Ovis aries: one gene and its partners. The main gene of each other region encodes a partner of the protein of the gene in region 3 in a complex. Links are inferred from orthologs where the notes say so. Each region holds a gene or a part of one and is shown on either strand. Other genes may lie near its edges. The genes, in order: SF3B3, SF3A2, DDX46, SF3A3 and SF3B4.

Region 1 (5,671 bases), on a different chromosome or scaffold from region 3:
TACTGACCAGTTTATGACCACTTTATGAAGACAATACCAAAACTGGGGAAATCTTTTAAAACCAATCATCCAATAAATACCTTCTCAGCTAAAATGAACCTACTGATTTCCTATTCACTTTTTTCTTTCTACTCAGATAGGATTCCAATGCCCACATGAAGATAAAATTCACTCTGTATTCTATTAATAGAAAGAGGTTTCCCTCCTACACATTTCCCAGCTCCCTTAAACTGGTTCCATACAACCAAAACATCTAAAAAGCAGGAAGATTTCCAGCTGTTTTCTTGAAAAAGCTTTGTATTCTGGCCAGTTTCACATTCCTGAGGGAACAAGAGGAAAATGAGGTCTAGGAATAGAAATGACCTACAACCCCAAAGAATCAAAGGGAAAATGAGAACTGAGTTTTATTTCTAAGGGACTGAAATTCCATTGTCACAGGACTTTTCTGCTATTGCATTAATATGCATTTTCACATAACTTTCAAAGTTTTAGGATGAGGTGACCATTTTTATTCAGGAGCTCAGACTTCCTCTTTCTTCCATCCCTCCTTTTCCATTCACCCTAAAATTCTGCTTCAATCAACCTCCACTTCCCTTAAACACAACTACTACACCTACTGAACAGAACAGTAACAAGCCTCTTAATATCCAGAATACCTTCAATTTCACTGTGATTTCAATACAACAGGAGAAAACATTGTAGAAGAAGCAAAAACTTTTCCTTCTACATACCTCTAACACATATGGAAAGACTACCTTAATGATAAATATAGTCAAAGAACCGACATATGCCAGCTCTATCTATGATACTGAAGTGTGTATGCACTGAGGACGAACAGCCACCCTGTGTGCCTCTTACCCATGTGTACAAAATGTAGTACGTGAAAGCATTGTGATTGGGAGCCCCAAAAACATGGTGTTGAGTCAAAAAAAAGTTTCTAGTATATGAAATGACATAGAAGTATTATGAATGCAGCCTCTTAAGCGTCTACTGTCAGTGGCACCTGGACCCTCACTCAGACCTCTGGGAAAGGGCCGCTTACCTTCAATGTGCCGACGCACTGTCCAGACAGCATTGGGGTTGCCGGGTAGCTCTGAGACAGCCATTTCTGATACCTGATAGGAAGGGAGAGAAACCACAGACCCACTGAGCGTGAAACGCAGCTCCTTGTTTACAATCACACTAGATAATACAGTCCCCATAATATAGCAGTGCTCACAGTGTACACTGGATTAAAACACTGGAACCAGCTAGTCAAACAGAAGATTAAGAACCAAACGGCTAGAGGTACTGTCGATTCCCAACACTGCCTTCAGCAAGCAGTGATGGGACATCTAGGATAGCTGCTGCAGCCAAGGCCAAATGCTTCCTTTTGAGGATAACATGCCTGCATCCTCCACAAAAAGCAAGCATGTGGGAATGAAACAGTCCATCTCAATTAGCATCCTTTCCTTTCCTTTGCTCCCTTAAGGCGAAATTCCACATCTCTTCACCAAACAATTCAAATACCACATCCTTTAGGAAAAAAATCTTCCCTATTTTCTGAGCTGGCAGTCATCTCTCCCTCCTGTAAGTTCTCAGGAATCACAATCATCACCGCTTAGGACACTTATCTGAAAGTAATCTGAGGAACTGTTTTGTCCTTCCTACTTGATTTTTATGCCCCTTAATGTCACAGTCAAGACTCCTCTGAATGTCATATAGACTTTCAAATGAGAATAAATAAAATATGTAAGATAAACTCAAAATGATCCAGAGGAGAAAACAAGGTGTGGACTAAACATTAACTGTCTATAATATCCTTGCAATTTTTCTGTAAATCTAAGACCACCTAAGATAAAAATTTTATTAAATATTTTAAAATGACCTAGAGATAAAAAGCAAGACAGCCTATCATATTGTGCAATTGAACAGTGAGCTACATTTTACAGGAAGGACTCAAGAATACATATGAAAGGCATTTTATTTTATCCTTTTGTTGGTTTATCCAGGTAATGGTAGCAAGAGTACCTGATCATGGTACAGGAGAATCTTGGGAAACTTCACAATCAATAAAATCTCAATGTCATGTACGCTACACTATCTGACAGTGACTCTGCTCAACTGAGACCATAATCTAGCTGAACAAGATTCAACAAACATACACAGGAAGAAAGCAATGTCCAGCAATTAAAAAAATATTTTTTGCATAACAGATTTTAAAAAATAGAATTAGAAAAAATTAGGAGGCAGCAGAGGACTCAAAACCAACGATTCTCCATCAGGCTCTTTCTCTCCCAACACCATGCACACAGTGTTAACGCATGTGTACATTTTTTTGTGTTTGAGTGCTTACTTTCACCAGATGATCACTGGGATCCAATGAGGAGCAAGTAACTTATCAAGAACTATTGGTCTAAATTAGGTTCAAGTCACTGAAATTTTGGTGACTTGATGAATATTCAGGCAGTCAAAACTTTTTAAGTCCCCTGAGACAGCAATATTGATAGCTAACGTTTATTGAACAGTTACTATAAGCCAGAACTTGACCAAGTACTTCATCTGCATTCTCATTTAATTCATACAGCAATCCTTAAGGCAGATGCTATTAAGCCCATTTTACAGAAGAGGAAACAACAGCTTAGTAACAATTAAGTAGAGCCAAAATTCAAAACAAAGGTCACCTTGCCTGTGTTCCAATAAAAATTTACAAAAAACAGGCAGTGGGCCTCTAAGAGCCTGGAGTTTGCCAACCCCAACTGCTAAAAGTAACTGCCATAGGAAGATTTATTTTATTCCTAACAAAATCAAGCCCAGGGCTTGCTAAAATGCATCAACACAAGAACCATGATGAGAAAAGGATATGGGATTTGAGAAGATAATTTTGAGTGTCCATTTCACCTAAAATGTCCAACAATAAAGGATTCATTAAATAAATTCTGATCCACCCACTGTGAAGCTACACTGCAAAAACATTAAAAATTGTACGACTTAAAAGCACATAGTAATAAGAAATAAACTTAGTAAGATATAAATACATATATATACTGTATTTAACATAGTTTAAAATGTAAGTATCTAAAAACTATGCAGAAAGATCAAGACTAAAATGAGGTGCAATAAAATGTGCCACGCAAGTCAGACTTCTCAACCTACACATTGTGGCAAGTGAACCTGGAATTAACAGGTATTTTTCCCCTTTGATATCCATTTGCCAAATTTTTAAAGTGCCTATTGTGTTGACATGTTAAAGATTAGGAAATTTAAACTGTAAACTTTATGGAAACAGGTGAAGAGAAAAACATTTTTGTTTCACATAAACACTGAATACATCTTTGATATCATCAGAATAAAGCCTTAGGCTGCTTTGCTAGCACTTGCCTCCAAACCCTGCATATGATCTAGAAATTTCAATCTTACCTCAAGTCCATGCCTTAAGACTCTCAGAGATGACCGCGGTCCCCTACCACAGGCCACATAGAGCTGGGGAGTGTCTTCATTGGCCAGATCAGCTATCTGCACAAAGAAAAGGGGGAGAAATGCCTACTTGTGCTACTTTCCCACACACAAACTTGATTATTCTCATGGGGACAAACCACTTTTTTAGTTTATTAGGCTTAAATATTACTACGGGCCCTGGGCACATGGAGTGAAAAAAAGACCCAATGTCCCGAAAAGCAAGCAGTTTGAAGCAGCAAGTTTTACAAACAAAAAAAGCTTTTATCAGTTCTTTGTTTTGGTCACACAGCACGTGGGATCTTGGTTCCCTGAACAGAGATGGAACTTGTGCCCCCTGCAGTAGAAATGTAGAGTCTTAACCACTTTAAGCCCAAGGATTTATGTAACGCTTTTTAACCCCCCAACTGCCTTCAGCTATTTTACCCTTATACCCCGGCGGGTCCACAGATATGCTGCTGAACCTCTTTAGACTATGAGGTTAATTTGAATTAAAACTTTAAACTCATTCATATTAAAAAATAGTTGGTTAGCACTGCTCATTATGTAGTGACTTGAAAGATCCTCACCTGGCAAAACAAAATGGGAGAGAGGCTGTCCAACTCATCAACCAACACAAGGTTTTTCAGTGGTCTTGGCTGAAAGAAGAACGTGTCTCCTTCTTCTAGAGGCATGGCAGATGAAAACTCAGGTTCCTCGTCGTCATCTCCAAGATGCGCGATTTGATACAAGTAACTAGGGAGAGGCAAAGATTTCAGGTAAAATGTTTTCTCTGATGTACATTATAAATATAATTAACACTTCCATATGTTATACATGAACCAAATGAGATTAACTGTGATAACCATTTCATGATGTGTGTAAGTCAAATCACTATGCTGCATACCTTAAACTTACACAGCGCTGTATTTCAATTTTATCTCTGTAAAACTGGAAGGGGAAAAACCCAATAAGCATTTAAAAAGTACTTCTGAAGATGTCTGCCATCAACATAATGCTCATAAATCACTTTAATATTGAGTCGGCATCTACAGTTTGAGATCTCTGCTTACTGACTAGGGTTTTCTATGTCTTTAAGAACAGGGTACATACCCAAAAGAATTTAAAACAAAGACTAAAACAGATATTTGCACACCAGCGTCCAATGCTGCATTACTCTCAACAGCCAAAAGGTGGAAAGAATCCAGGTGTCCATTAACAGGTAAATAGTATGTGGTACATACATATAGTGGGTTATTATTCATAGGTAAGAAGAATACAGAGCTGACACAAGAACTCTAAACCTATGCCACATGAAGTGAGCCAGACAGAAGGGTGGACGCGTGCGTGCACTCAGGTCCCCAGTGCTGAGGGCCAGGGCCAGGAGGAGAGACTCCCTAATGGGCATACGGGTCCAGTCTGGAGTGATAAAAAAAAGTTTGGAAAAATAGTAGCAATGGTTATACAACACTGCAAATGTAATTAATGCCACCAAATTGAACATGTTAAAATGACAAATTTTGTTATACATATTTTACCACAAAAAGAAATAATGGGTGCTAAAAAATATGAATGTTTAAGACCTATTTATTAATAAAAAATTATTCACTATTATATAAAAATACATAACTTACAAAACACAATACATTATCGTTTTTATACAAAGATTTAAATATATATATATACACAGGTACACACACACAAAAATGCTATCTTTGGGCAGAAGGATTACAAGAGACATTTTTGCTTATATGCACTTTCCCAACTTTTCTACAATGGAAGTTCCTTGTTAAGAAAACTTAAAAAATTAGAAATGGGTGAAAATACTTATAACAATAGGCTAAGTTGTAAAAAGTGAGACAAAACAGGTATAAACTGGGAAAAGGAGTAATAAAGACAGTTGGAATAAGCTCCATGAGAATGAGTTAAGGACATAAAGAAAGGGAGAACAACTGTAGAAACGGCGAAACTGGAATAGAATCACAAAGTTTTAGACAGTATTTCCATTTTCCTCACACAGAAATAGCATTAGACAAGCCTTCTGCACGTAACGCAAAACCTGAAGGCAAGGCCATGGCATCTCATTTCATAAGCAATCTGGAGTCTTCAATACTGGTTTTAAATTCAAGGCCAGAGTAGAGTTCAGACTTATTGAACTCATTTGTCTGTGCTGCTGCTGCTGCTAAGTCGCTTTAGTCGTGTCCGACTCTGGGCAACCCCATAGACGGCAGCCCACCAGGCTCCCCCGTCCCTGGGA
Region 2 (5,276 bases), about 25 Mb from region 3:
CCTGTGTAAGGAGGGCGCACTTTCTGTCCAGATGGTTCGCAGCTCCAGACAGCTGCACTGAGCTGAATAGTCTCGTATGGGAGCATCTCCCAGCGGTTTTGAGGCTCCCCCTTCTCTTTGGGGGACCATCCTGGACATAGAGTCCCTGGAGGTCAGAAAAGCCTCCAGTTGGAAACTGCTGATACACATGTTTTCTTCTTGGGACATTATTGAGGTGGAATCAAAGGGCATGTTTATTCCAGGTGTCCCCACCACTGCCCAGCAATATCCACTGGCCCCACCCACATCCTGGCAGCCACAAGACTGCTGTGTCCCCCCGACCCGAGACTCTCATCTCTGGCTTTTGAGCATCTCGTCCCCCTGTGTGCAGATCCACGAGAGCTCATGTGTTCAGTAGCCACCGGGTGCCCGTCAGCACTGAGCCCTGTGGATGGAGGCGGGCCCGGGTGGGACACCGGGCACCACTCCCTCACTGTGCCCTCAATTGCATGTTCCTCTCATGTTCCAGGGGAGTTACCTCGCGCACACCCAGGGGAAGAAACATCAGACCAACTTGTAAGTACCTGGCACCCCTTCCCATGCCTGCTGTCCCCCTCACCTCACATCTCCAAGGTCGGCCGGGGATGGGCGCTCCTGGCGCCTGGGGCTGTGGCCTTGATGGCCTGTGAGGAGGGGCCTCAACACTGTGTCCGTCCCACCTGCAGGGCCCGGCGAGCAGCCAAGGAGGCCAAGGAGGCCCCCGCCCAGCCAGCACCGGAGAAGGTCAAGGTAGAAGTGAAGAAGTTTGTGAAGATCGGCCGCCCAGGCTACAAAGGTAATTGTCGATGCCCTGGGTGGGCAGTCCCTCACCCACCTCCAGCTTCACCAGTGGCCTCAGCTTCCATTAGAGGCTTCCTGCCCTGAGGGCGGGGGCCTTAGTGTCTCCTCTGCTCTTTATACTCCTAGCAGAGGTGGGTGCGAGGGTGGGAGGGGACTGCAGGCCCTGGTGTAGTCCTTTCCTCTGACCTTAGAACTGGGTGCTGGTGCCTTTTCACATGGAGAGAGAGTAAAGGAAAGAGGAGGCTTACCTGGGCCAGCAGCTGCAGAGGATCGGGTTGCCAGGGAGGAGGGGAAGGCAGGCCTCCTTGCAGGTGTTCTTGCTGAAGTGGGCACACCCTGTGTATGACTGGCGTTTCAGACAAGACATGGCTTGGGAAGGCCCTGGAGTGGTCCAGCTTGGTGAGCCAGGGCGAGGATGGCACTACCCCCAGGGAGGCCACCACAGGCCTTTTGGTCAGTCTGGGTCATCTGGCCTCTTCCTGGCTGTGTCAGGGAGACACTAAGTGCCTGAGGGCGCATATGAAGGGCCCCGGAGCTGTGTGGAGAGCAGCCCAAAGCCACAGAGCTAGACTGTGATGGGCACCCGCTCCCAGAAGGTCTGGTGGAGGAGGGTGGGCAGTGGGGAGCCCACCCTCTGCCCCCACCCAAGTGATATCAGGCAGGTGGCACCTGGGGCACAGCCCTCCCACCCTTGGGCCAATGACTGCTAGTTGCCCAGCAGGGTGACCTCCCCCCACTTGCCAAGCCAGCTCTCCCATTCGTGGGTGACATTAGGCCAGTCCTAGGACCCCGTTACTGGACCTGACATCCTCCTGTGTTGCAGTAACCAAGCAGAGAGATACAGAGATGGGCCAGCAGAGCCTCCTTTTCCAGGTGAGCAAAGGCCGGGAACCCTTTGTCCTGAGGGGAGGGGCCCCTGAGAGGCAGTGCTGTCACTGGCCGTGTCCCTGCAGATCGACTACCCTGAGATTGCCGAGGGCATCATGCCCCGACACCGCTTCATGTCTGCCTACGAGCAGAGGATCGAGCCCCCGGACCGGCGCTGGCAGTACCTACTCATGGCCGCTGAGCCCTATGAGACCATCGCCTTCAAGGTAGTTTGCTGGGACCCCGGAGGGTCCTGCAGGGTCTGCTCCATCCAAGCAGCTGGCCCCAGCCCACACCAGGCGCCCCCTCTGGGCCCTTGCCTCCTGAGGGTTGTCAGAAGACGATGCAGAGTGAGGGCAGGGGCTGGGTGTCCACCGTGAATCAGACCCTGGCATGGCCCTAGCAGTGAGGTGGCCCTGTTACCAGGCTGTGCAGGACTCTGACCTGGTCCAATTCTCAGATACATGTTAACGAGACAGGGTAGGTTGCAGCTTCCCTGGGTGGCAGGGCTGCTAAGCAGTGGAGCAAGAATGCCAGCTGTCACCCCCACGTCAGACCCTGTTCCCTCATAGAAGGGCCTCCTGGGCCAGGCCATTTCATGGTCCTGAGGGCCTGTCTGCCCCTCTACCCCGCACAGGTGCCAAGCAGGGAAATAGACAAGGCTGAAGGCAAGTTCTGGACTCACTGGAACCGGGAAACCAAGCAAGTGAGTCAGTCCATGTCCATGCAGTTCCCCATCCTTCTCCCACCCCAAGGCCTCTGGGACCCTACTCAGTTTTTCCTGTCTGTCCAGTTTTTCCTCCAGTTCCACTTCAAGATGGAGAAGCCACCAGCCCCACCGAGCCTTCCTGCTGGGCCTCCTGGGGTGAAACGGCCCCCACCCCCACTGATGAACGGCCTGCCCCCTCGCCCGCCACTACCAGAGTCGCTGCCTCCGCCCCCACCAGGAGGCCTGCCCCTGCCACCGATGCCGCCCAGTGGGCCTGCACCCTCAGGGCCCCCAGGCCCTCCTCAGCTGCCCCCACCGGCTCCTGGGGTCCACCCACCAGCACCGGTGGTCCACCCACCAGCCTCTGGGGTGCATCCCCCTGCTCCTGGGGTCCATCCCCCAGCTCCTGGGGTCCACCCCCCGGCACCAGTGGTTCACCCACCAGCATCTGGGGTCCACCCCCCTGCTCCAGGGGTCCACCCTCCAGCCCCAGGAGTCCACCCTCCTGCTCCGGGAGTCCACCCTCCAGCCCCAGGGGTCCATCCTCCCCCATCTGCTGGTGTTCACCCCCAGGCACCAGTGGTGCACCCACCAGCTCCTGCAGTTCACCCCCAGGCTCCGGGGGTGCACCCGACTCCTGCCGTTCACCCCCAGGCTCCAGGGGTCCACCCACCAGCTCCTGGGGTCCACCCACCAGCCCCTGGGATCCACCCCCAGCCTCCTGGGGTCCACCCCCCTCCTCCTGGGGTCCATCCTCCGGCTCCTGGGGTCCATCCTCAGCCACCTGGGGTGCACCCCTCAAATCCTGGGGTGCACCCCCCAACGCCCATGCCCCCGATGCTGAGGCCTCCACTGCCCTCCGAAGGCCCTGGGAACATTCCTCCCCCTCCCCCCACCAACTGAAAAGCCACCCCCATCCTAGCAAGTCTGGTTTGGTTTTCCTGGGTTTCGCCCTCAGAGTAGAGTTCTTTTGTACTGGGCTGGGTGTCCTCAGAGCTCATTAAAGAGTCTGCTGACCCTGAACTGGACTGCTGTGTTAACCTGTGGGCGGTCAGCTTGCTGTGGGTGAACACACGTGACTGCTTTCCACCACCATAGGGGGTGTCAGGGTCCCACCTGGACCACAGGGGGTGGCCCCTGCTGTCTCTGCAAGGACAGACCCTGTGGGCCAGCAGAATGTGGGGTGGTTCTCTGGGAAGACAGCAGAGCGAAGAAGGCTGCTCACTCTCCTTGGGGGTCTCTGTGGGCCTCAGAGGTAGGGTGAGCGAGCACGTGGGGTCACTGGGGGACAGACCTGCCTACCCGATGTGAAGCGTCATCCCCCTTGGGGCTGGCACCTGAATCCTCCTGGGGCAGGGGCTCCACACCTTGCCCTCCAACACCCCCAGGTTGTTGATAGTCTGACTGTCTGGGGCATGCACTCCTGCTCACATTCCTGCTCTGGGGAGGGGAAAGATTTGTCAAGGACAGTCTGACAAATGGGTCACAGGCCACACACACTGTATCACTGCTCAGGAGATAGACAGGCAGGTTGGAACAGAGGGGGCTTTGAGAAGGCCACAGGCCTCCCAGGCTCGCAGCAGGCACCAGTCTCCAAGGTCATGTCCCAGGAGGAGATAGGGACTGCCCTGTACCACAAACAGCCCTGCTCCCCTTATAAAGTAGGGCAGCGCAGCCCCTGGAAGCTCCCAGGATGCCCGGTCCATCTCTCTCTCTGGCCCTGGTGCTGTCGGCCATGGGGGCTCTGCTGAGGCCAGGGACCCCCAGGGAAGAGGTCTCCAATACCTCAGCCTCGCCCAGGGAGCAGGCCACAGGCAGCGGGACACTCATCTTTCAGCAAGGCTGGGACTGGCCACTCCCCAGTCTCTGGCTGCCAGGCAGCCCTCAGGACCCCCTGTGCCTGGTGACCCTGCATGGGAGTGGCAACGGGAGCAGGGCCCCCCTGCGGGTGGTGGGGTCCCTGAGCGGCTATGAGCAGGCCTTCCTGGAGGCTGTGCGGCGCACCCACTGGGGCCTGAGTGACTTGACCACCTTCGCTGTGTGCCCCGCTGGTGACGGGCAGCCTGTGCTGCCCCACCTGCAGCGGCTGCAGGCATGGCTGGGGGAGCCCGGGGGTCGGTGGCTGGTGGTCCTGCACCTGGAGGAAGGTATGTGTTGTGTCGGGGCTGGGGTGGGAGGCCAGGCTCTAGTGCCCTCCTCCCAAGAGCAGAGGACTGCAGAGCCCCCAGCCCAGACCCCTCCCCAGTCTCAGGAAGTGGAGGCTAATGGCCAGAGAGGTGGGTCACTGTATCTTTGCTTGTTTGGGGCCAGAAGTTCTCCAGCTCCCAGCCACCCCTCTCCCCATGCAGTGCCTGGCAGAGGGGGATGTGGGGGCTAACACCTTGTTCACCTACCTGGGAGCTACACAGTGGGGGATGGAGGAGGGAGGCAGGTCAGTGCAGCCTGATGGTCCAGCAGAGGAGTGCCTCTCCCTCCACACTGGGTAGCAAGAGGTTCCTGTTCCAAGGGATCGCTGTCCTCAGACCCACTACCAGGACTCCCCCAGGAGCTCTCCAGGCCTAGAGCCCCCAAGGGCTGGGGAAACACAGGTGGCAGCCCCACTGCCCACCCTATCCATCACTTCTAGGCCACTCCTGTCCCAGAGAAGCCAGGAGCCAGCGTCAAACCTCTCACCAGGTTCCCCCAGGCTTTGGTTGGCGTGGGGTCTCCTATGGAGGGGACAGGCTTAGGGGAGGTGCTCAGGCTTCGGTGGCTCAGGTGCCTCCCTTCTTCCTTTGTCCTGGCCGCAGTGACGTGGGAGCCGACACCCTTGCTGAGGTTCCAGGAGCCTCCACCTGGAGGAGCCAGCCCCCCAGAGCTGGCGCTGCTGGTGTTGTACCCA
Region 3 (5,671 bases):
CTTGAAACTAATACTATATTGCAAATCAACTATACTTCAATTTAAAAAAAAGTAGGTATACAAGAAGTTAAAGAGGTTAAAATGTTCTACCAGTTTGGATATCTGGCTACAATACTGTTGAGAAAAGCAAGAATTTCTCCCAAGAGTACACTGCGTAACTGAAAAGCACACCTCCATCAATGCTTCCTTATAAATACTCATAGGATGGTACCACGTGCTGTGTGCTCAGTCGTGTCCGACTCTCTGTGATCCCACAGACCATGGCCCACTAGGCTCCCTTGTTCATGGAATCCTCCAGGCAAGAATACTGGAGCGGGCTGCTGTTTCATTCTATGGTATCGTGAACAAAGTTAAAATTAAAGTTACCTCCATGGCATCCTGGTCATTCTCCATTAGCTCACCTTTCTTCTTATCAGAATCTACGACTGCTTTTTTGGTTGTGACAACTGTGACAACTTTTGTGACCGTTGGCCCAGACTTCTAAAAAAAGAATGTGAAATATTTTGCTAAAGTTGAAACACAAAGTATAAACCAAATGAAACAATGATAACTGTAACAATTTATAATCTGAATTAACTTAGTAGTCAGTGACTACTAATGCAAAAACAAACAGTAGCCCACTTTCTCCTTACTTAAATTTAAAAATGTAATACAACAGCATTATATTTCCTAACACATTAACACACAGGTAATTAGGTATGTAGTATGTAATTTTATATAATATTATGTAATCTATTTTTAAAATACTATTAAATAGTACTTTTCACTCATTCCACAAACCAAATACTATCCCAGGATCTGAAGATGAATCAATAAACAAAACAGGTAAAGATCACTGCTCTTGGGAAGATTTTAGAAGAAAGAAGGAACAAGCAAACACAACATTGAATTACACCATTTGTCAATAAATTCTATTAAGAAAAAGAAAACCTAGACTAAAGAGGATCAGGAGTATAAAATATGGGAGTGTTGGAAAAGGACCTACTGAGAAAGGAACAAGCAAGCAAAAACACTAAACAAAGATGATAATAGTAATGATGACTCTAAAAGGACATTTGCAGTTACAATTTGCTAGTATCTCTGCTCTTTAGAAAAAGCACAGACACTTCTGAGATGCAGAAGGAAACAAAATCATTAACTTTATAAAGCCATGCAAGCCAATAGTAGGTCAATGCAACAATGAATTCAAGTTATTCAACTAGGAATATAAATCTTTAAAAATAAAATAGGAAAAAAATCCCATACCTTTTCATTTCCCCCACCACCTTTCACACTTCTCATATTAAACTTTTTTACTTCCTCTTTCACTTCTTCCATGTAAGCATCTAATGGATCTAACTCCTCACCCTCCATTTCATTTCCTTCCTTTTCAGCCTCTGCAGGATCATCTTCATCATCTAAAATATCAGAACATACTTTGAATATGTGTTTCAAAAGGGATTATTTCACAATCCGACCATGCCCCTATTAAGAAGCCTTTTCTCTTAACTACCCAAATACCTTCCTTATCAATTAACCCAGGCACAATACAGTTCAAATACTCATACTGGCAAGGTTTTAAATCAAACAAGCATTAGTTTTGAATAATACTAATAATAAAAGAAATAAATGATAAACTATTAAACTGAAAAGAGGAAGAAACACTAATACGTCTGAAAAATGGATCTCTGGTATTATTTTACAACCACACTAACAGAAGCAAAACTAAAAACTTTGCTAAAAGGATATGCTTATTTCGCTTCTTTCAATCACTTTTCTTTAATCACAGGAAGAAAAAATTAATAGTATATTGCAGCCCACCAGGCTCCTCCATCCACGGGATTTTCCAGGCAAGAGTACTGGAGTGGGTTGCCGTTGCCTTCTCCGAAAGACAGTCTCATGTTTTTTACATAACTATCACCAGGGAAGCCTGGTGTGTTGCAGTCCATGGGCTCACAGAGTCAGACACAACTTAGTGACTGAACAACAACATCACCACCATTTAAAGACATAATCCATTAATCTATTTAGAACAAAACACCCTGGTGAACTTCCACAGAAAATGAAAAATTCACAGGGATTTTCACAAAAAAAATGGAGCAAAATTCCCTTTTCCTATAAAACCTCATTATTCCACTTAACTAACATCTTACGCATCAAAATCAGTTGTGAAGTTGCATTTAGTTGCACTGAGCAGCTTCAGCTGCATTCAACAAATTCTGATAAATTCTCTTTCATTTTTATTCTGCTACAAATATTTTCTAATTTTCCTTATTATGATTTCTTAGATACAACCATCATTTAAAAGTGGACATTTTCTGTCCAAACACATGGAGTTTTTAAAGTATCCTTGATATTAATTTCTCATTTTGATACTAATTTCTCATTTACTTGCTTTCTTCGTTGCAATCACTCTGTTTCTTCAGTCTCTTAACTTTACTGAGACTTTCAATGATTATGTCAAAATTCTCTCTTGGTAAATGTCACACTGCACTTGAAATATGTGTGTTATTTTCAAATATCTTTTAATATTGATTTCTAATACAATTTCACCATGATAAGAGAACAGACTGTATGATTTTAATACCCATAGACTATTTTTGCACTTTGCTTTATGTCCCTGGATATGTTCCAGTGTCCCCTGGTTCACAGTCTATGGAAACTTGAATAGAATTTGTATCCTGCCTTGGTGTGAAAACTGTATAAATCTTAATTATGTTGAATTGGTTCATAGTGCTTTTGAGGTCTACTATATCCTTCTACTTTCCTGTCTATTCATTCCATTAACTTTTGAGAGTTTGATATTGAAACTCCAACTAAAAACCTTAATTTATCTACTTAAAAAATAATTGTAATATATAGTGGAAATATATGTAACTTTTTTCTGTATTTTCCAAATCTCCTGTAAATGTACTATCATAGTTTCATAATTTAAAAAAGAAAAAAATAATCAAGATGTGCAGGGGAAATGTTGCTCTTCTAAGTTAGGAAAAAAATCAGAGGGACTTGGAAACATGCCCTTAACTTACCCTCACTACTAACATCTGAAGTAAAAAAATTAAAGAGCTATTTACTGACTGCCCATAAGCATCCAACTCTCCACTCTAAAGTAAAATCAGTGATCCTTACTGCACGCTACTCTACAATTAAAACTTTAAATATGAAAAGGGGCATTGAAAAACCTCAAAATAAATCTAGTGACTCTATTTCTAGCTATAAACCCAAAAGAACTGAAAGTTGGGATTCAATCAGATATGCACAAACCAACACTCACAGAAGCATTATTCGAAATAGTCAAAAGATGGAAACAACTTATATATGCAACAACAGCTGAATAGGTAAACAAAATGTGGTATATACATACAACGTAATACTATCAGACTTAAAAGGGAAGGAAATTATGATATAGACTACAACATGGATGAACCTTGAAAACACTTTGCTAAATAAAATAAACCTAGTCACAAGACAAATACTACACGATTCCATTTATTAAGGTACCTAGAATAAGCAAATTCACAGAATCAGAAAGTAGATTAGATGTTATTAGAAATGAAGAGGTACGGGAAGGCAGGATAGAGAATTACTGTTGAATAAGGCAGAGGTTTTGTTTGGAATGATGAATACTGTTGAATAAGGCAGTTTTGTTTGGAATTTTGTTTGGAAAGTTCTAGAAATGGGCAGTTGTGATGGCTGCACAACACTGTGAATTTGCTTAACATCACTGAAATGTACACTTAAAAATGGTTAAAATAGTAAATATTATGTGTATTTTTTCATGATAAAAAATAGTCTATCACTTATAACCCTAGAATATTATACATGAATTGCTGTTTAGGCTACTAGCAAACAAATGAACATACCATCATCATCTTCTAAGCTCCACTTTTTCCCTTGTTTCATCTCTTCGATTTCCTTTTTCAGTTCCCCTATGTTTTCCATGGCCTTTTTACGTTGCTCTTCTCGCCATTTTTCTACTCTTTCTTTTCGCTTTCTCATTTCTTCTTCTAGCTTATTCTGGTCAAAGTTCTTGGGGTGAAAATGAAAAATAGAAGAAAATAAGGATCAACAGTTTTACTCCTACTGACACTCCAAATAACTTTTTCAAAGTATAAAAAAAGAAAAGGAAAAACAGGTATCTACACAAAACTCCTAAATTCTGACCAGATTTAGATTACACATCTTTTTAATATATTAAGGAATAAACTAACAAAATGAAATCACAATCAAAAGTATCTTCAACTAATAAACCAGAAAAGTGAAGTCGCTCAGTCGTGTCCAACTCTGCAACCCCATGGACTGTAGCCTACCAGGCTCCCCCATCCACGGGATTTTCCAGGCAAGAATACTAGAGGGGGTTGCCATTTCCTCCTCCAGGTGATCATCCCAACCCAGGGATCAAACCCAGGTCTCCCGCATTGTAGGCAAACGCTTTACCACCCAAGCCACCAGGGAAGCCAAACACAAACTTCAAATACTATAACTTACTCTCCTTTTAGTTACTACCAATATGCACACATGAACTCAACCTCTCCCTCAAAGTGGAAACTAAAAGAACTGGCAAGCAAAGTTCCCTAATTATTACTCTCAACTGTAAATCCTTTAAACTTCTCCAAGACTGCCTCCATGAGAAGGATTTTTTATCACAATTTTCTATTTCAAACAAGTGAGTAAATGAAAGTTATTTATCAAAATCTTTAAGAAGTTCTGATCTTTTAGCCTTTAGGTCTAAGTTTTCTAGGAACAGCCATTCTAAAGCTTGTATCATGATTATCAACTATACTCTTCAAAGGAAAGACAAATCATTTTCACAGGCATAATCAAGGACTTAAAGATTAAGCATCATAAATATCAAAATTTTATACATGCTGCTGCTGCTGCTAAGTCGCTTCAGTTGTGTCCAACTCTCTGTAACCCCCATAGATGGCAGCCCTGGGATTTTCCAGGCAAGAACACTGGAGTGGGTTGCCATTTCCTTCTCCAATGCATGAAAGTGAAAAGTGAAAGTGAAGTCGCTCAGTCGTGTCCGACTCCTAGTGACCCCATGGACTGTAGCCTACCAGGCTCCTCCATCCATGCTACAATTATATAAATAGGTATAGAAACACACATGTAAAAAAACAGTCAAAGAAAATACTAATAAACTGCAATATTGATGGCGTTTGGGTATCTAGAATTACAGAGAATTACTTCTGACTTTCCAAGTATTTTATAATATGGTTATATTTATATTTTAAAAATAAATTTATTTCTTAAACAAACAAAACCTGTGTCCCTGAATTTACATCCTTCATAATTCCATACTCTCTGAAGATGAGCCCCAGAAAGCTTATGTTTTTTTCTCAAGGTCACCCAGTCATTCCACAGTAGAAACTAAATCAGAAACCAGACCTCCAGACTTCTTGTGTTAATTTCTTAGATAACCTGCTCAGCAAACAGTTCCCTTAAAAAAAGAACCACTAAAAACAAAAATTAGATCTCAAAAAAAAAGGAAATGAAGCTATAATATATTGTAAAATGGGCAAAAGCTATGAATAGGCAATTCAAAGAAAAGTGCAGATAGTAGATAAACTTAAAATGCCTTATTTAATTATTGGTTTACATTATGTTCATAGCACTTAAAAATATTTACTCATGTTAAAGACATACAACTCAAAATAACAAGAAATCAATTACCTCCTATAACATCTGC
Region 4 (5,671 bases), on a different chromosome or scaffold from region 3:
GGAACTTACCAGTTAGCAATAAGCAGCGTAGTTAGGTGACATCCTGCAACTGCGAGTTCTTTCAGAATTTCCCTCAGCTTTAAGCTAAAGCCATTCTCTTCTAGGGCTTCCCAGGTGGCTCTCATGGTAAAGAAGCTGCCTGCTAATTCCCTGGTGGTTCAGTGGTAAAGACTGCCTGCACTGCAGCAGTTGCAGGTCCAGTCCTTGGGTCTGGAAGATCCCCTGGAGGAGGACATGTCAACCCACTCCAGTATTCTTGCTTGGGAAATCCCATGGACAGAGGAGCTCGGCGGGCTGCAGTCCATAGGGTCGTAAAGAGAGTTGGGCACGACTGAAGCGACAGAGCACACATATTCCTGGGCAGCCCCTAACCAGCGACTGAACACAGTGTGGGGGAGGGGTATCACAGCCTGGTTATTTCTGCCCACTGTGAGACTTTCAGTGAGATTTTCTCATATCTACATCATGGTCTAGGCTCTCTCTGCTCCATCCCTCCATCCTGCTCGCTCTCTCCTTTCTTTTTTTTTTTTGGTGGCCACACCTCATAGTTCATGAGTTCTTAGTTCCCCAAACAAGGATCAGAACCGTGTCCCCTGCATTGGAAGCATGGAGTCTTAACCACTGGACCACCAGGGAAGTCCTTTCCTTTTTATCTTTCATGGGTAATCCCTCTCCTCCTGCCCCCACCACCCCACTGGTCAAGAAACCACTTGTGTTCCTATCTTGAAATCTGCTGCCTGGAGGAACCGACTAACACAAAGAGGCTTTACTCACGTCCATTGATCATTACCCCTTCATGATTCAGCCCAGAGATCAACTCTTTCATGAAAATTGCTTCCTAGTCTATCTCACTCCTAGTTAATGCCAGTTAATCTTTCTTTTCTTTATGATCTTGTCATGTTCTCTGACAATAAATGTCTGCCCCACTGTACTGTAAAATTATAAGGAGCAGGGATTACATCTCAGTTGTTGAGAACTTACTAAACATCTTGCACAACTGACCAAAGGAATTCCAGGGCAAAGGGGGAGTGAGGCATGTCTGTAGAAGTGGAGAGAGGGGTCAGTAGTTGCACTGAGCATTTATGACTCTGTAACTGAAAAGTTGTTTTTTCCCTTGATGGAAATAAGGAAGAAAGAACTCGTTTACACTGGAAGTGGATTTTTATGTATGTAGATTTTCAGGTGATGATGGACCTAGGTGGAAGTGTCATATGAGCAGTTGAAGTTAGTGACTGGGGCTTGAGAATTATCACGTGGACTTGATGGCTGAAGCTGTGAATCATAGTGTTCTGGGAGGGAGAGAGAGTGTGAAGGGAGACTCAGCTTCTGTGTGCCTTGGGGCACTCACAGTAAGGCACCTCACGGGAAGGGGGCCTGGGGAGCCTCCAGCACAGGTCAGTTGGCAGCTCCAGGCCATGTCTTATGGGAGCTCAGCAAATGAGCTTCAGAAAGGAAGTGACTGGTGTCTGCTGTTACTGATTGGTAACTGCCAGGATTGCTGCTCAGTGGAAGTGGTGGGCGTGGAAATCTGGGAAATCTGGTCACAGGGAGTACTCGTGAATAATGGGGAAACAGTAGTGTGTAGTGTTTTAACATGCATTTGAAAGACTGGCAGGAAAAAGGAGAGGAGACGCAGGAGGAAGATAGGAAGGTGTCCATATGTAAAGGAATGGGTAGAAAAATAAGAGACTGAAAATACTAGGCAGGAGAGGCTACTTAGTGGAGGCACGTAAATGTCTCCTCACTCCCCTTGGAAGGTATTCAGTCTTTTGCTAACCAAGAGAGAAGACGTGAGTACCATTTTGGTGTGTAACCTTATCCCAGCTCTGGTGGAAAAGTGATGCAGAATAAATGGTTAAATTTATTCCAGGATATACTAAGGGGGAAAAAATAAATCCAATTATGTGAGAAGCAAAGTAATAATCTTGTCATTTGCCTGTATTATGGTTGCACAAATACATATATAAATGCACAGAGCAATGGTTTCCAAATCTTGCCGTGCATTTGAATCTGAGGGTCTTTAAAAAGTGCTGATACCTCCCCCCACTTCTCATTTAATTGGTATCAAGTATGTCAGGGCTTTTAGCGCGCTCTTTCAGGAGAAGGCAATAGCAAGCCACTCTAGTACTCTTGGCCTAGAAAATCCCATGGACGGAGGAGCCTGGTACGCTGCAGTCCATGGGGTCGCTATGAGTTGGACACGACTGAGTGACTTCACTTTCACTCATTGGAGAAGGAAAAAGCAACCCACTCCAGTATCCTTGAGCCTGGAGAATCCCAGGGACGGGGGAGCCTGGTGCGCTGCCATCTATGGGGTCGCACAGAGTCGGACACTACTGAAGTGACTTAGCAGCAACGGCAGGTGATTCTAATGTGCAGCAAAGTTTGAGAATGGCTGACATTAAAAATTTTTTAAGTAGTCTGTAGACAGTGGTTATCTATTTGCAGTACAATCTTTTTTGGTGGAGGCAGGTTGCTTCCCAGGGGATGGGAGTGCTCTTCAAGACATATGGGATCTTAGTTCCCCGATCAGGGATCGAACTCATGCCCCCTGCATTGTAAGTGCAGAATCTTAAACACTGGAGCACCAGAGAACTCCCTTGCAGGAAAATTATTAAAGGGGGCAGCTTGATTTTTTTTTTTTCATTCTGTCTTTTTATGTTATTTGAACTTTTTTGAATGTTATTTTAGCAAATGTTAGTTAAACAATGGCAGAAAGCAAAGGAAAAAGCAAGGTAATTGGAAAACAGAAGTAAACTTCTAATGAAAAATCCAAGCTAAGTGAAGCATTAGAAATCCAACTTTCTATATAGCCCATTCTGTGATATTGCAACCTTTATGTTGAAAAATCCACCTGAGCTTTTCTCTTTTTTTCCCATCAGATCTGTGTTCCGATGTCAGTGGAATTTGAGGAACTCCTAAAAGCGCGAGAGAATCCAAGTGAAGAAGCACAAAGTAAGTAGGGTTTAGTGCTTCTCTCCAGCACCAACAGAAGTACAGGTAAATTACAGAGCTCAGATTTGCCCTCAGAGCTCTGGAAAATGGCCCCACAGAAATTTATAGCTGGGTTCTCCTACTGATGTTCTCTTTGTTAGACTAGAGAAAAGCCTGGACTAAATTGTCATCCTAAACTGGCTTTGGGCACAATGTTCATTTTGTGCTCGTCCAACTTAAATGCATTGGCTGAGTCCTGTTTCACTCTGTGAGCAGAGAAAGGGTATTTGGGTAAAGGGCTGCATTATGAAACAGTGCAGTCCACTTGAAAGGCCAAGTCCAATAAAGTGGTCTTTAGTACCTGAATCACTGATACCTCTGATTGCTTCAGATTTGGTGGAGTTCACAGATGAAGAGGGATATGGTCGTTACCTGGATCTTCATGACTGTTACCTCAAATACATTAACCTGAAGGCCTCTGAGGTAAGACCCAGGATAGAGAAGGTGGCTCTGATTCTCACAGTGAGTCAGGACACTGAGCCGTGTCTTCCTTGTGTTCTGGAACTGTTAGGTAACTATTAAAATGGTGATGTGCTTTCTTAGAAGGAAACCATTTTCAAAGTGAAAATCGGGTTTCTGCAGTGAATGAATAAGTCTTTTACTTACTAGTAAATTTTGTTTTATTATTACAAGCCTATTTTGCTTTTGTAACAATAAATTTTTAAAACTCCCAAATACACGTCCAGCATCTGTGTTAGGTACACATAGTAGTAGGTACATAAAGATACAAAAACATAATCTCTTCCAGGAATGACTATTTAATATCTTTAAAAAGATACCTAAAATAACTTACCATAAGAGATGAAGAAGGAAATGGCAACCCACTCCAGTGTTCTTGCCTGGAGAATCCCAGGGACGGGGGAGCCTGGTGGGCTGCCGTCTATGTGGTCGCACAGAGTCGGACACGACTGAAGCGACTTAGTAGTAGTAGTATAAGAGATGAGATTTAATGTGACAGTGTCAGGAAAGTCGCAAGGAAGTATGTGATGGAATTCCTCTTGGAGTTGTAAGGACATGTCCCAAAAGTTGTCTCAGCTATATAAGCTCCATGAGTCCAATCCTGTTGGATCTGTCTTGTTCTCATGTATATCCATACACTTGGTCCAAAGATACTTAATAAGTGATTGAGGGAAAAAACGGCACGTTCCGGGACGTTATTTTAACAGGTAGTGGATGTCAGTCTTTAAATAAGTGCCCGGTATATAGTAATGATGAACAGATATTTCTTTTAGCCTATGGTTTATTGACTTGATCTGTATTTTTCCAGGTTAATTATGTGTCTCATATTCTACTCCGTCTAGTGGAATTAACACCCAGTTAATGCAGGAATTAAATGGTAGGAGGAAAAAAAAGGCTAAAGTGAGTGTTGTTAACTTTGTTAGGCTCAATTTTGATCTCATTTATTGGAGATTATGTAGTTAGGACCAATTTTGATCTCATTTATTGGAGATTATGTTGTAACTTGGTGCAAACACCTAACTGAATCTCTTTGTCATTTCTTTTCTCTTTTCAGAAGCTGGATTATATCACTTACCTGTCCATCTTTGACCAGTTGTTTGACATTCCTAAAGAAAGGAAGAATGCCGAGTACAAGAGGTAGGCATTATTAGCTTCCAGGCCTCTCCTGAATGTGACTAGAAGATTATTTTAATGAGATTTGAGGGCAGTTTTGAATTTTGTTTCATGAAAGGCATACATGAATGACTTCCAGGTTTATGGGAAGGTAGGGGTTTTAAAGATACATTTTAAAAATCATAATACTTTGGGACTTCCTTGGCTGTAGAGTGGATAAGAATCTGCTTGCCAGTGCAGGGGACGCGGGTTTGATCTTTGGTCCTGGAAGATTCCACATGCCGTGGAGCAGCCCCTGTACCACAAGTATCGAGCCCCCCTCTAGAGCCCAAGTGCCTCAGCTAGTGAGTCTGGGCACCCTGAGCCCGCACACCGCAGCTGTTGGGTCTGTGTGCTGCAGCTGCTGAAGCGTATGTGCTTAGAGCTTGTGCTTTGCAGCAAGAGAAGCCACCACAGTGAGAAGCCTGTGCACTGCAGCCAGCAGTGGCCCCCGCTTGTGCAGCTAGAGAAAGCCCTCGCAGCAGTGAAGACCCAGTGCAGCCAAACAAATAAATGATTAATTAGTTAAGTAAAATCATAATACTTTGGCTCTGGAAGAATATGTGTCTGTGGGCACATCTGTGATCTTAGGCCCATACTGTTCTTAATTTTGTCTCATTGTGAAAGGAAGTCTCCCACCCTGGTGCCTCTGTCTCTGGAGCTGAGCAGAGTGGGGACAAAATTAAACTTTCTCAGAGGTGCCTGGGTCTGATGTATAGATGTCATGCTTTGTTGGTGGTGTTGTGCCCCTAGTTAGTAATCTGCCTTCCTCTATTTTTCTCATTTTCTTTTTACCTGAAATCTTTCTTATTTGTGAGTTAAGACTGTAGTATTTGGAATTGTATCTTGAGGATGAAAGAAGATAGGAAAGGTCAGAATCAAGGTGACATATTAGAAGAAAGCCAATTGTAAGCTCATTTTTATTCCTTCAAAAGACTAGTATCACTGGAGTTATAAGTATATCTTATAGGGCATAACGGTATATCAGAAACAGAAACCTTGCTGTCTCTGTATTACATATTCCTCTGTAGATATCTGGAGATGCTGCTTGAATACCTTCAGGATT
Region 5 (6,179 bases), on a different chromosome or scaffold from region 3:
AGTCTCCCTCATTCCTTTTTACTGATGCTTAGTATCCTACTGTATAGATTTACCAGTTTATTCAACCAGTCCCCTACTGACTGATATGAGAGTTGTTTCCAATCTGTTATTGCAAATAGTGCTGCAATGAATAGCTTTGTGCATGTTACTTCCTATTTTTGCCATCTTATTTCTAGGAACTTTACTTCTATTCTAACTTAGTACTCACAACAACTATGCCGTAGATACTGGGTCTTCATCTTATGTATAACTTTGATGTAATGAATCAAGTGCTGCAGTACACAGCAGTCCAGCATTTGCAATAGCACATTATAGAGTAAGTCTTTAAAACTTGGAATAAACACCCTCACTCCTACCTTACCGTTCTTCTCCCAATATACGGACATCTCTTCTCAGAGAAAAAGAAGTTATTCTGTCAAGTTAAGCACCACAAACGATAAACAAGGAGTTTAGTTTAATTTTCTCTGGGTATTTGTAAAACACTTAGGGCCAACATAGGAAAAAATAAAATAAAATACAGCCTCCTGTGAAAAAATTACACTTACAAAAGAAAGGCCTGAGAGGGATTAGTGCCTTAGCCCCTCGGAGCTATAGCAACTCTGATTGGTCCAAGGAAGTGAATAGATATTGGGAGGCTACAACAGGAGGAAAAACAATGAGAAATCACTGAGGGAGAGGGCCTCGAAGTGGGCCTCGAGGGGGCACTGGAGGTCGGGGAGTAGGTCTGGGTGGAGGGAGGGGCCCCCGCTGGTAGCCGTAGGGTGGAGGTCGTGGAGGGCCAGTGTATCCATGAGGAGGCATCAGTGGAGGAGGTCCACGCATACCATGCGGAGGCATAGGACCTGGGTGACCTGCAGGTAAAAAAGGAAAACAAAGTAAAAACAAGGAATAGGAGACAGTTCATATTGGGACAATGTAAGGAGAGGATACACTGGGAGATAGTGAAAAGAAAGAGAAGAAAAGAAAGTGCAGGGGATAAGAGGTGTGACAAAACAAGCTGCAAGAACAATATGTGAGGATGAGGGAGGTGGCTAAAGACTACTCACCCATAGGAGAGCCAAACGGAGGCCCTCGGGGGGGCATGCCCATTGGAGGAGGTCCAGGATGAGGCATTCCAGGTGGTGGTCGGGGTGGTGGCTGCCCCCCAGAGCCAGGCGGCCCAGCGTGGGGGTGCCCTAAGCCATGAGGGCCATGGTGGGCCAGCTGCATCTGAGACATCCCTATGAGAACAAAACAAGACACAGTGAGAAATGAGACAAAAGGAAGTTAGAAGACAGGAGGGCAAAGAAGACAGAGAAGAAAATGAAGAAAGTGACATCAGATAGAATACAGAAATTAAAGCTGGTAAAAAGTGCCCTTATCTTTGACTCCATCCCAAGAGAATAAATCAACCAACTACCCTACAGCTCCCCAGTCCCTGAAGCCCATTTGCTCCTTCCATGATTTAGGCATTGTAACAGTGCTGCAGAATGGCGTGATTATTCTACTGAATAGAATCTGGGAAGATAACAGAGACACTGTCACAGCAAAGATCTAATTCTAAAGGATGAACAGGAATTTTTCAGGTGGACAACAGAGTGGGAAAAGAACATTCCAGGCAGAAAAAAATCAGCAGGTGCAAAGCATGGATGTGATCAACAGCACAGTATGTTAAAGGAAACCCAGTAGAACAGCTTGTAGTCATGGGAGTAACAGGCAGGAGCCAGATTATGCAAAGCCTAGAATGCTATGATAGCGAGTTTGGGTTTCACTCTGTAAGTAAAAAGGAACAACCAGAAGAATTTTGAGCAAAGGTGTGTGAATATCTGTATTTAAGAAAAATTACTCTGAGATAGTCAATCAAAGTAGAGATAATTAGAGTCAAAGTGTCAGTTAGGGTATTACTAAAATAAATTAGGTGTGAAATAATGAGGATAGGAGAGCCTGGGCTTCCCAGGTGGCGCTAGTGGTAAAGAACCAATGCAGAGAGCCTGTTGTTCTCTTTGGTAAAACTTAAACAAGAAATGAAGACAGCATGATGGTTGTTAAAATAAACGGTAAAGTATCTTGCATTTTTTTCCTAAAAGAATGTCTGAAAGAAAGGAGAGCTTGGGCACTATCTATTATTGTTAAAGGACAAAGAACAGCAGCATTAAGTGCTGACAGAGCTCCTCCATCAAGCTCATCCCTCTCCTTCCCAGCAAAGAACGCTCACCTGGATGGGGCATCCCACCAGGTGGGAATGGGTGAGGATGTGAGTGTCCGTGTCCAGGATGTCCAGCCCCTGGGGTTCCCGCTGATGGGGGACCATGTCCTCCAGCCCCAGGAGGCATAGGTGGTGGTGGCATGGCTGGGGGTATCCCAGGAGGAAGGGCTCCAGGAGGTGGTACTGGAGGTGGGAAGGAGCCAGGAGGAGGCATGCCTATAGAGAAAATGGAAAAACAGTTAATGATAGTGAGCAGAGAGTGCCTTTAGAGAGCCTGTTCCACCCTGGCCTCTCCAGGCCGAATGAGCTCTTTTCCCCTCCTCCCAGCTCTCTGAAGTCAGCGGCAACATTAAGTGACTTGAACAACAACCTTCTGGAGAAAACTCAACAACTTTCTTCCCACCACAATCATCATCCCTCAACCCCTTTCTCATCACCTAATGACTCAATGTCCTCTCCTTGCCAGGTTATTTTTCCTTCTTCCTGGCCCCACCCTTCCCAACCCAACACAAACATTTTTTATCAAAAGCTTTACCTGGTGGAGGAAGCCCAGATCCCAATGATGATACCACAGGATTGGGAGCAGATGGTGGAGGGGGTGCATCTGCAAATAGCTGATGAGGGCGGTCAGCCTGGGAGAGTGGGTTCTGTGCTGCCAGAAGTCTTTCAGCGGCTGAGCCATGGCGCTCACCCTTGGAGTCCTTCTTGAATGCGTAGGACACAGTGATTGGGCGGTTACAGAGGTACTGCCCATTCATGGCCTCAATCGCTGCATCCGAAGCATCAAATGAAGCAAAATTAATAAAGGCATAACCTTTGGAGTTGCCTGTGTCAGGGTCCCGCATAATCTTGGGGGTTTGTAAGATGACCCCAAAGGCGCTAAAAGTATCATAAAGCAACTTCTCATCAATCTCCGGGTCCAGGTTCCCAATAAAAATGTTGGCCCCCACATCCAGGTTTTTGTTGTGAGCTGATGCCTTGTTCACCCGTATTGGCTTCCCATAGAGTTTGATCATGTTCATGATCTTAATGGCATAGTCAGCATCTTCCTCACTCAAGAATTCCACAAAGCCATAGCCTGGGGAAGTGGAAAAGAAGAGGTTAGCAACTGAAGTGATTTAAAAACGAGTTTATAACTCATTTGTCTTCTAAAGCACAAAGGATAAGAAATAATAATCCCAACTTCAATTGAGAATGGTTCCAGAAACAAAATCTTTAGTTTGCTCACTCCAAAACTTAATATCACTGGAGACCTCCAGGAGCAGTCTGTCCCTTTCATAGATAACTGTACTTTTTGCCGTGTACTCACCTTGGTGCTGACCAGTGACTCTATCCTTTGGCATGTGCGTGTTCACTACTGGTCCTGCCTGGAGAAATAGTTCCCACAGCAGTGGTTCGCTAACCTTCTCATCGAGGCCCCCCACGTACACAGTGGCATCTGGAAGACAGGATTAAGAGGTAAGGACAGAGATGAGGGGAAATAGGGAGGTAACGGGAACATGAAGATGGAACCCAGGCGGAGGAAGTGGACGTGGAGATGGGGTAGAAAAGCGAAAAAACAAAAAGATGTTAGATTAAGCTTTTAGAAGCTCCTCCTTTCCAGAAAATAGACAATCTTATGTCTAATTTAGAGTGACGGTGCAAGTTCACTCTGTAACTTTTCTTTTTCTTTTTTTTTTTTTTGAGTGGGAAGGCAGCAGAGGACTGGACACAGCATCACAACTATAGGCCTCAAGTCTGTCCATCCCGTCCCCATAAGGCATCGGGACCAGTCTGGCGCCCTTCGGAAAGGCAAAATCTCCCGCCCCAGCGGAAACATTGCTGGGCCTAGTCGAGGTCCCTCAAACCCCCAGAGTCCATTCTGGGTCTGTCCCCTCCAGTCACCCTGGTTTCGCTCGGAGATCGGCCCGGCAGCCATGGCGAAAGCGCTCCCGCCGTCTCCAGGCAGCGATCCCGCCCCCTGACCTCAGTCACTACTTCCGCTTCCGAGGCGAAGGCTGACGTGAGGTGGTGGGCGGGGCCGCGGCAGGGGAGGAGCCGGAAGCGGCCTCGGCCATCTTAGGAGACGCTGAGACTGGAAGCGGCTGAAGTAGCGGTGCGCTTCGGTCCACGCTCCCGTGCAGAAGTGCTACTATGAGCGGACGCGGCGGGGAAAGTGAAAAGGAAACGTTCTGTCTCTTTTAAGGCAGTGCTAGAAGTTAAAGGGTCACACTGCTCCCGAAACTGTCACTTCAGAAGCTGGGAGAACAAAACTTTAGTTTTCATGTGTTTTGTAGCCTTTTTTTCCCCCTTAGAAGGGTGTACAGAGGAACCGCTCAACGCAAGGCGTGGGGAGAACCGTCCATCCCAACCCGCAGTCCTTGAACAGACGCGGCCTCACAGCCCAGGCCTGAGCTTGAGGTATTTCCTTTTTCCTCAGGGAAGGAATTGTGGAATGTCTGAGCTCGCCTAGTCACTGCATAGGAGGGGAACCTGAGGTTCGGAGGTGGGGTGGTACCGAAGTTTACGGGGGTTTGATACTGAAGCCCAGAGGCCGAGGCCGAGGCCGAGGCCGAGGCCTTCAGAGCACACCCTGAACTCCAGCAACCTCTGGGCGTGCCTTTGCCCTGTCTACACGGAAGAGAGGACCTTAAATTGTGAATCCTGCAGCGCCTCACGCAGCCCAGCCCCTTACTTCCTTAGCAGTAATATGGTCGGTACCGTCCCTTCGTGGGTCACATTCCTTTCCCTCCTCTCCCACCACTCCCTTACCTAAGGTTCCTTTAATCAGACACAAACAATGCCAGCGGCGTGTATAAATATTGTGCTTTAATGAACTCCTTAAATAGAAATGTCACAATGAAAATATATAATTGGAAGAGATAGGGTGTCCTGTGTATATTCCATACCCATAGAAAACTATAAGGGAAGAAATAGAAATTGGAATTAAGCAGCAAGAGGAGGTGAGAAGGAGGTCTGTAGGCCATCTTGTTGGCACTGATAAACAGTATATCTGATTATCACAATTTACCAGCGCAATATCCAAAATTTCCATCCCAAAGACATGGAATTGCCCTGAAAAAGAGAGGCAGTCTTCTGGATTGTTGTTGTTTCTTAATTCTTCAAATGATAAGAACTGTTTAAACCAAACAAGGCAGGATAAGAGTTGGATAAGGTTAGCACCACTCATCCTCAATAGAAACTCAGGTCAGTGATCTTGTTTATGAAAGCTGAGGCAGCAAGACCAGATAAGAAAAACCGAAGGATTAGACAAAACTCTCCCTCACCCCAGACCACCCTCTGCCCTGCCCATGAGAAAGCCAGCAATTTCAACGGGATTGGGAGAGAATGGTATTTGGGTTTCTTTTCTTGGAGTGATCCTCGGGAGATATTCGTGGTGTCCATTTCCTTAATAACTCTTGAAGATGGGATAGCTCCTCCTGGAGACCAGAGATTGTGGGAGCTGAGAGGCCCATCTGGGAAGAGGGTGAAGAGAGGCAGAGAGGATCCTTAATTCTCTTAGTTCCCTTTCCTCCTCCAGCTATCCCCTAGGTTCCACTTGATATAAGCCAGAAGCAGTTTTCCCACACTCCCAAATCTATCCGCTTTGATACCAATAGGAATGGTATCTAACTTCCCAGTCCCCCAAACCCTTGCCCTTCTGCTCCTGGAAACATCTGGTTTCTCCTAGAACATCTGGTTCAAAAGTCAGACCCCTTCTCCCACTCCCAATTTTTGCCTTCCCTTCTCACCTGGACCTCAGGCCTTCCCCTCAGGTAGCAGCGTCTCCAGAGCCTGATCTGGGGTCCCAGACATCCAGGCAGCAGCAGTCCCGGGGGTAAAGGGCAAGCTCCCCAGTGTGAGGGGAGCCCCCACTCCTGATCAGCCAGGCTTTCAGAAGAGATAGCAGGTCGAGGGAGCCAACGAGAGGAGACTGCCAGCAGGGAGGGACTGTCCCGCCAAGGACAGAGTTGATTCAGGGGTGTCAGGGCCCCTCTAGAGAAGAGCCACACGG

What was found.
Region 1: DDX46 (region 3) and SF3B3 share a complex: the UniProt entries of both Homo sapiens proteins name them as parts of the 17S U2 SnRNP complex. The link is inferred for Ovis aries from reciprocal best matches to the Homo sapiens genes DDX46 and SF3B3.
Region 2: DDX46 (region 3) and SF3A2 share a complex: the UniProt entries of both Homo sapiens proteins name them as parts of the 17S U2 SnRNP complex. The link is inferred for Ovis aries from reciprocal best matches to the Homo sapiens genes DDX46 and SF3A2.
Region 4: DDX46 (region 3) and SF3A3 share a complex: the UniProt entries of both Homo sapiens proteins name them as parts of the 17S U2 SnRNP complex. The link is inferred for Ovis aries from reciprocal best matches to the Homo sapiens genes DDX46 and SF3A3.
Region 5: DDX46 (region 3) and SF3B4 share a complex: the UniProt entries of both Homo sapiens proteins name them as parts of the 17S U2 SnRNP complex. The link is inferred for Ovis aries from reciprocal best matches to the Homo sapiens genes DDX46 and SF3B4.

The regions. Positions count from the first base shown.
Region 1 is NC_056067.1:1,097,539-1,103,209, forward strand, and holds part of SF3B3 (splicing factor 3B subunit 3), read right to left. Parts: intron 4,171-5,671; coding exon 4,005-4,170; intron 3,496-4,004; coding exon 3,400-3,495; intron 1,116-3,399; coding exon 1,043-1,115; intron 1-1,042. UniProt on the Homo sapiens protein: Component of the 17S U2 SnRNP complex of the spliceosome, a large ribonucleoprotein complex that removes introns from transcribed pre-mRNAs.
Region 2 is NC_056058.1:19,188,753-19,194,028, forward strand, and holds the end of SF3A2 (splicing factor 3A subunit 2), read left to right. Parts: intron 1-508; coding exon 509-555; intron 556-704; coding exon 705-814; intron 815-1,642; coding exon 1,643-1,692; intron 1,693-1,772; coding exon 1,773-1,913; intron 1,914-2,323; coding exon 2,324-2,392; intron 2,393-2,479; coding exon 2,480-3,298; 3' UTR 3,299-3,418; downstream 3,419-5,276. Other genes in the region: AMH (muellerian-inhibiting factor precursor), read left to right, coding at 4,089-4,542, 5,185-5,276. UniProt on the Homo sapiens protein: Component of the 17S U2 SnRNP complex of the spliceosome, a large ribonucleoprotein complex that removes introns from transcribed pre-mRNAs.
Region 3 is NC_056058.1:43,897,876-43,903,546, reverse strand, and holds part of DDX46 (probable ATP-dependent RNA helicase DDX46), read right to left. Parts: intron 4,009-5,671; coding exon 3,843-4,008; intron 1,398-3,842; coding exon 1,246-1,397; intron 481-1,245; coding exon 367-480; intron 1-366. UniProt on the Homo sapiens protein: Component of the 17S U2 SnRNP complex of the spliceosome, a large ribonucleoprotein complex that removes introns from transcribed pre-mRNAs.
Region 4 is NC_056054.1:12,728,387-12,734,057, reverse strand, and holds part of SF3A3 (splicing factor 3A subunit 3), read left to right. Parts: intron 1-2,882; coding exon 2,883-2,955; intron 2,956-3,325; coding exon 3,326-3,417; intron 3,418-4,507; coding exon 4,508-4,590; intron 4,591-5,636; coding exon 5,637-5,671. UniProt on the Homo sapiens protein: Component of the 17S U2 SnRNP complex of the spliceosome, a large ribonucleoprotein complex that removes introns from transcribed pre-mRNAs.
Region 5 is NC_056054.1:100,031,949-100,038,127, forward strand, and holds SF3B4 (splicing factor 3B subunit 4), read right to left. Parts: upstream 4,141-6,179; 5' UTR 4,104-4,140; coding exon 4,070-4,103; intron 3,624-4,069; coding exon 3,495-3,623; intron 3,264-3,494; coding exon 2,721-3,263; intron 2,402-2,720; coding exon 2,195-2,401; intron 1,221-2,194; coding exon 1,047-1,220; intron 852-1,046; coding exon 664-851; 3' UTR 438-663; downstream 1-437. UniProt on the Homo sapiens protein: Component of the 17S U2 SnRNP complex of the spliceosome, a large ribonucleoprotein complex that removes introns from transcribed pre-mRNAs.